Rhinolophus ferrumequinum: one gene and its partner. The protein of the gene in region 1 interacts with the protein of each later gene in a pairwise test. Links are inferred from orthologs where the notes say so. Each region holds a gene or a part of one and is shown on either strand. Other genes may lie near its edges.

The links. The genes of interacting proteins can lie anywhere in the genome.
Region 2: the proteins of NR4A1 (region 1) and PRDX4 interact in a two-hybrid assay, tested with the Homo sapiens proteins (2 studies listed by BioGRID and IntAct). The link is inferred for Rhinolophus ferrumequinum from reciprocal best matches to the Homo sapiens genes NR4A1 and PRDX4.

Annotation. Positions count from the first base shown.
Region 1 is NC_046293.1:52,246,998-52,250,742, reverse strand, and holds the start of NR4A1 (nuclear receptor subfamily 4 group A member 1), read right to left. Parts: upstream 2,877-3,745; 5' UTR 2,691-2,876; intron 1-2,690. UniProt on the Homo sapiens protein: Orphan nuclear receptor. Binds the NGFI-B response element (NBRE) 5'-AAAGGTCA-3'. Binds 9-cis-retinoic acid outside of its ligand-binding (NR LBD) domain.
Region 2 is NC_046284.1:108,181,228-108,184,972, forward strand, and holds the start of PRDX4 (peroxiredoxin-4), read right to left. Parts: upstream 3,011-3,745; 5' UTR 2,888-3,010; coding exon 2,644-2,887; intron 1-2,643. UniProt on the Homo sapiens protein: Thiol-specific peroxidase that catalyzes the reduction of hydrogen peroxide and organic hydroperoxides to water and alcohols, respectively.

The sequences.
Region 1 (3,745 bases):
TCTCTGGTCATCAGGCTGCCATTCGGGCAGTGATGAGGCCTGGGAAAAGAGAAGTAGATGTTTCCACGATGGGAGGCAGAGGGAGTAAGAAGGAAGAGGGCCCCAAAGGATGGGTGATGGGATTCCTTGCCCTCCTGACCTCTGCCCCAAGCTACACAGATAAGGGGAACTCCTCCGGCCCACGTTACACAGATTCTCCTCATACAGAACGACCCGCACCCCTTTGTTCCTGTGGGTATACTGGGAGCAGGGACTGAAGGCCACAGGAGGGAAGGAGGGGAGAGCAATCTGGAACATCTGGGGGGCTTCCAACCCCAAAGAGAAGGCAAAATCAGGCCGCACACGTGCCCTAGCCAACAGGCTACACCTGCCTCCCAGAATGACGGTCATCTCCCCATACTCCAGAACGGGTCTGATGTCAGGCCTTCACCCCCCTTCTACCAGTCAGGCCCAACCTGAGTGCCCAGGTCATCCCCACCTGTGTCTGAGAACAGGAGCCAGAGTCAGGGACCCAGTGGTGCCAAGAAAGTGATTCCTAACATCTTAGAGCAGGTACCTGATCCCATATCCTGTCCTAGATCAAAATCTCCTCCTCTACAGTCATTCTACAAGCATTTCCCGGGGGCCTCCTGTGAGACGGGCAGTTAGCCATGACTAGTGGGAGACCCAAGAAGCAGCAAACCAAGATCCCTGGGTCCCAGGAGGTTACACTGGGGAATCAATCAAGATCAATGGCAAAGTCTAAGTGGGCCCGGAGGAGGAGAAAGTGATGCTCTCCAAATGGGGTGGCGGCATCAGGCCAGACATCAGTACCTACCTCCTGCTCCCTCTTCCTCACTGTGCTCCAGCCATATGGGCTTTTCTTTCCCCACTCAGGGCCCTTGCACTGGCTGTTCCCTCTGCTAGGAAATCACTGCCCTGGATGTCTGTATAGCTATCTCCTCCTCATCAATCAGGTTTCCATTCTCATTTCCTTGGAGCGCCTCTACCCTACCCCACCACATTAACCTGTTTTTGTTATCCCCATAGGACTACTGCTGCTCATTTGTTCACCTGTCTCTCTCGATCGATGTAGTCTTCAGTCTCTAAAACAGCTTGACGCTAGTAGGTACTTAATAAGTATTCGTGGAATGATGGAAAAGGAGGAGGACTCATGCATGCCTGCATTAGAACTGAGCTGGGAGCTTGGAAGGATATTGCAGCTAAGGAGCTGTCCCTTGCATTTGGGGACAGATTAAAAGTCTGAGGGCTCTTCCCTATGCTGAGTCAAAACCCTGACCCCCAAGAGCCCCCAGCCCTAAGTCCCAGCTCTGCATGGGCCCACCCAAAACCCTTTTCTTTCCTAAAATAACTGTGTCTTTTCTTAACTAAACTCCCCCTTGCAACAGGACATGACTGACAGACCCTATGCAGCCCTGGTGGCCTCCTAGGCAAAAGATCTGCATTGGCCAAAGTCTCCAACCAGAAATGGGCATTTTAATATAACAAAGGATAACAACAGGAAATACATGTTGAACGCCATGGGCTAGATACATCATTAAGCACTTTACATGCATTTTCTTATTTCAGCCTCACAACACTATGAGGAAGGGACTGTTATTATTATTATTATTATTATTATTATTATTATCATTATTATTATTATGAACACTTCACCAATGAGGAAATTAAGGCACAGAAATGTTAAGCACCTTGCCCAAGGTCACACAGCTAGAAGTGGCAAAGCTGGGATTAGAACCCAGGGAGCCCAACCAGGGAGCCCAGGGCCACGCATTCTGCTTTCCCCCTTGGACCTGATTAGTGGATAGAGGTCTCAGATTGCACAGAGCAGTTTGACAGCCAACACCAGAGAACAAGTGGGACGCTCCCAGGCCTGGGTTGCTGGGCCTCTGAACCAGGCTCTAGGCCTGAACTCCTGAGCTAATTTTCTTAACTCCAGCACAGGCCTCAACATTTATAATCAGTCACATTCATCTTGTTAGTCTTGGTCCATCCTTCTGCCCAGTTGCCATCATTTGGAATCTTGATTTTTATCCTACTGTACACTTGTCACTCCTTTCAGCTCTAGGTCACTACAAAGATTCAGCTGGCTTCCCTTTTAAGTCTTCCTTCATCCTTTGGGCAGAACTGTTGTGAACCCACCGACCTATGCCCAGCCTTCGTTTTCCCAGCATGCCCTTAAATAGTAGCCCCAAACCCAAACTGATACTTCACTGTAAAGGACTGTAAATGCCACCTCCTCAGCATTTCTAATTTCAGGTCGGCTCCTGACTCCATGAGACCCTTCTCGGCCTCGGTTTCTCAACTCAGTCCCATGAAAGGACTGCACCGGGCAATCCTGATGCCTCGCGGCTCGGCGTCCTGGCAGCCACGCTCCCCAACTCCTGGAACCCGTTCCCCGCAGCCGGCAGGGAAATGGAAGGAATTTCTCCGGCCTAGACACCTCCAACGCCCCTCGCGGGCCAAACCCCACCCTTGGCGGGCTGGTTAGAGAAAGCATTGGCCGCCGTTCTTGGGGGCTGACTCCGAGGTAGCAGGTTCCGCTGGGAATCCAGTCCCTTCCCCCACGCTGTCCGGCTTCGAAGCAGGACTCCCGGCGTGGCCCCGGCCCATCCCAGTGCAACCGCAAGATCCTCTTGTTCCCGGACCTCTGCGGGACCACCTCTCCCCGCCCCCCCCGACCCGCTCACCTGGCCGGGCGAACGTGGCTCGCCTCTCCACCCCCGCCTTCCCAGCTAGCGCACCAGCCGGCGGGGGAGCCGCTCCGCACCTCAGAGGCGACCATGCCTGGAGGCCTGGGGTCGCGGGCGCCGCGCGGGACCCCCACCAGTTCCGCTGCAGCCGCCTCACGCTCCCGCAGCCGAGCCGCCGCGCCGCCGCGCCCCTCGCCCGGGGGAAGCCCCCCACCTAGCAGTTCCGGCTGCGGCCGCGCCCCCCGCCCCCGCGGCCCGCGGGCGCCCGCGCCTCTGTCCCAGCTCGGGGCGCGCCTCCCCCGGCAGGCGGGCGGGCAGGGACCGTGACGTGCACCCATTGACGTCTCCGGAATCCCGGCGGCGGCGGCCGACGCAGCCTCATCAATGGGGCTAAAAATAGCGGCGCCCGGAATAACTGTGAGCGCCACGCCCTGCGCCCCCCCCACACCCCCAACACACGCGCAGAGCGCCTGGTTACATAATCCGCCCCGCTGCGGCTGGGCTGGGGTGCTGTTTTTCAGGTGAGGGTTCTGTGGCCTTGCTAACACCTTCCGAGACAGCAAACCTGGAGCTGTTATAAATTTACCCGGGGCTTCCCCTGAAAAAGAGGTGGAAAATGTGAGGCCCAGAGAGGCTCTGCAGCAGCCCAAAGTCACACAGCAATTAGGCTGAGAGAACAGGCCTCTGAGCCCTGGGCACCCCCCACAGCATCTCTTGGCCTGCATGCCACCCCGAGGGCAAGGAACCCAACTAGTACGGTGCCCACGGAGTGGTTAGACCCCAGGACCCAGGAAAATCAGCCAGCAGGTCTCAGAGAAGAGGACTTCTTGGGGGAGTGAAATTTCTCCTGAAGAGAAGCACTCCCAGAGGTGGGAGTGCAGAAGGGGACAAGGCCTGGGTGTTGGATTCACAGATCTGGGTGTTCCTATACTACTGTCTGACCTAGGGCAAGTCACTTCACCACTCTGAGCCTCAGTTTCCATACCTATAAAATGGGGATGATAATATGACCCATCTTTTCTGGTTTTCGGGAGAATGGAACAGCTGTGGAG
Region 2 (3,745 bases), on another chromosome or scaffold:
CATGCTCATTCCCCCACTCCACATTCCATCCCTGCACTAAAACTCTACTGGATACTTCAGTACAGCCCCTCCAAGTTAAACAACTTCCTACATTTCAAATAATTAGATGTTCCTTTCTCTACTGGTAGTCTTTCAGATGTACTAATTTAAATGTCCAGTTTCTCACACACAGAGGACCTTCTGCCACACTCAAAGAAATCTGCAAATGCGTTAGGCCAGAAGTATAAAATCCCAGACAATAGGATTATTTTCCTAGAAGGTTCTGAAAGAGGAGGCCCCCTTGAACAGGTTTTAAGTGACCTGATGGAAATTGAATAGTTCGTGCTTCTCTCTTGTAAGGGCATGCTGTAATTCTAGTCAACATGCTTCGATAATAATGTACCTTGATCTTCTGTTAACACATTGAGATAGCACTTAAACTTTCAGAACCATTACATACATTGAAGTCAATACTTCCAAGTTTGGCTAAAGTTCCTAGAAAGTAAGGCTTATAATAGCCAGCATTTATTATATTTTGTATAACAGCCAGCATTTATGGTCACTCTGAAAACAGACACAAACTTAAGATAAATTTTTCTGTGAAGTTAATATATAAGATAATTACTTATCTTGCGTCAGCAGTGTACCGCATATAAATATCCTGATCTGATTAGGTTAAGGCCAGGAGGGAGAATTACATAGCAGAAGGGTACTAAACTCTATATGCTTTACAAGACATTACTGAAAATGCCACTCAAGTGTGAGGTTAAAATTGTAATCATCTGTTAAAATGACACTCCTTAATGATTTTAGCATGTTGAGAAAACCAAATCTGAAAAATAAATTTTGTTCTCAAAATTCTGAGTTTGGAAAGTTTGGGTTTTTGCTTTAAGAATTGCAGTGTTAATTCAAAGAAAAAACTGTTATCAATTTATAGAGCAAAAAGAATGGAGTCACCTTGCTAAGATCTATAAACGGAATTCCCAAAACAACCCCTTGCATCTATTAAAATCCTGAATATAAATCATATAACAAAGATTCTGGCAAAAACAAAGCAGTATAAAGAAGCATATTTAAATCTCCTCTTCCCATAACCTCATTAATTTAACTACTGTTAACATTTGATGTCTTTTCTTCCAGTCTTTCTTAAACACACAAATATGGATCATGTTGCACCCCTTTAAGAAAAAATTGTAAATCATGAACAGGTTTTCATGTGACTAAAAGTTATTTGTAAGTATGACCTTAATGGCTCTATAATATTCCATTTTATTAATAAAAGTCCTTGTCTCTTTAATTCTAGATAAGCCTACAAAAATTTGAAAAAGTTTGCTGGTAAAGGAAACTCTATTACAATTGTTTTTTTTTTTTTTGCTTTTATGAGAAGACTTAGATGGGATTTCTGATGAGAAATACGTGTAATGCCAGTAAACACTTAACTAGCTGACATATTTCAAAATATCTTCCCAGGCAAATTAAACTAAATGGGACTTGGAAATATTATGATTTTAAAAGGGCAAGACTGGGTTTAAAAAAAAAATTAAAAGTAGTTAACTTTCAGTAGAAAATAACTGCAAATGTTTAAGGAGGCAAAACAGTTTTCCCATCACTCCCACTGTCATAACAACATCCCACGTAACACTTAGGATTCATAACTGTAAAGCATACTTTTTTCACTGAATGCTGGCATAGAATATGCTATAACTGAACCACAAAAGCCAAATACACATGTTCAGAATGCCAAGTGATCAGTAGGAAAAGCAGGTTACTTTAAAGCAAGCAAGGGACAGTTTTTATCCTTTAACCTCTGGTCACTTCTTTTTGGCTAATGTTAACATCCAGATGCAGCAGGCCACAACTTTATCAGTATTTTACTAGTCTGACGTGTCCTTCCTGCAAGTGGCCATTAGCTGTGTACACTGGACAGAAATGCAAATAATGAAAAGCCAAATTGGCAGGACACAAATTTGCCACGAGGTTTACCATCAACTCAGATGCATTACTTTCAACCTCCTTTTCCCCGCTTTCCCTACAAAAAGCCTCCAAAGTACACCCTGTAATAAGTTCTTCATTTCTAAGAGACACAAAGAATACACATTAACTATACAAGTTTTGGGGAAGGGCTTTTAATAGTCTTCCTTATAAGATGAAAAAAAGGAAAGAAAAAATGAAACGTTTGCTCTCCTGAGTATTTTGTTTAGCCACTTTTCTGTTTAATCAAACTTTTTGTGAATCCTTATTCAACTTATCAACGTATTCTTCCCTGAAATAGTACTTGGAAACAGACGTGACGTGCTGCAGCCACTTGGCGATGTTTGAGGAAGTGTTTCAGTTTGCACAACATCCTCAGATGTCTGCAGGTCCAGGACCAGGGCCACCCTCTTTCCCTTTTCTGCGGCTTTTGGGGTAACCACTACTTCTTCCAAAATCTGATTAGTGAAAACCATCCCTTTCTCAACAGCTGGAACCCACTCCCCCACCCCACTCCCTAAGAAAGCCAGGCCTGCCCAGGGACCGGAGGCAGCCCAGGGGGTGTAGCCTAAGCCAGGTTCCGGGGTACCCACTGTAACCAGGGCACATGTGTCTGCCGGCCCTCCTCACTTCCCGCCTCCCTCTGCCACCGGTCACCTCCGCACCCCACCCCATTGGCGGGGCACCACCTACTCTTAGCTTTGCTGAGGTGCAGGGAGTGGTCGGATACCGAAACTCGGGACGCCTCTCCCGGGTACACTTGTCCCCCCGCGTAGAAGTGACACTCCTCTTCACGGGTTCGGGGCCTCTCCTCTGCCTCCCAGCCCCGCAGTGCCCCAGCCGACAGCAGGAACAGCAGCAGCGGCAAAAGCAGCAGCCTTCGGCTCCAGCCGGGGACTGGAGTCGTCGCGGCTGGCAACCGCGACGGTACCTCCATGACCACGCGAGTGCAGACACAAGTCCCTTGGCGCGCGCGCGCGCGACTTCTCCCGCCGCCAGGCAGCTACAACCGCGCGCTCGACGCCCGCGCGAGCCAGGGCGCGGCCTCGCGAGACCTGCTCCGCCCTCCCACTCCCCGGCCCCCACCCCGCCCCCTGCTCTCCCCGTTCCCGGGGCCCCCCGCCCCCCCCCGCCACGTGGGCGTCAGCCCCGCCCGCTCGCCCCCAGCCCGCATTTGCGCCTGCGCCTTGGGGCGGGCCAGGACCAGGCGCTCAGCCCAACTCTGCAAACGCTACTTGCTGGCATCGCACGTGACTGGCCTCACGCGCTCTGCTGCTCTGCACTGGTTTAGACATCCTCCCATTCCCATTTTTTTCCACAAAGCCTAACTACCGCACAGCACCCCAACAAAGTCAAACTAACCTATCTGCTTTTGAACCGCTTGCATTTTATACTTCTAACAGTTACTCGTTTTCTCTTTGAAGTGATCTGTATGAACAGAGCCACGATTCCCTCCTCTAGTTGCAGCCCTTTTAAGTCCTGGGAAACTTGGAGAAGAAAGGTCTAACATTTATTCTCCAGCAGGCAAGGGCAAACAGGCACTTTGGTGACTTCAGCTTGTCTCAAAATGTTTTTTGGTTTTTTTAAATCAAGATTTTAAAAGTTCCCAGAAGACCAAACTTACTCCCAGCACAGTGTTGTTCCACCTTCTGACAATTACCCCATCACATTAAGGAGCCAGAATCCCTTCTATATTCCTGTGAGCTCTTGTCATCTTTCTGAACCCCGCAGAAGTCTATTAGACTGTCAGCTAGCTCCCTGGGAGATGTCGAATTCATCTTTGTTTCCCAAGGCA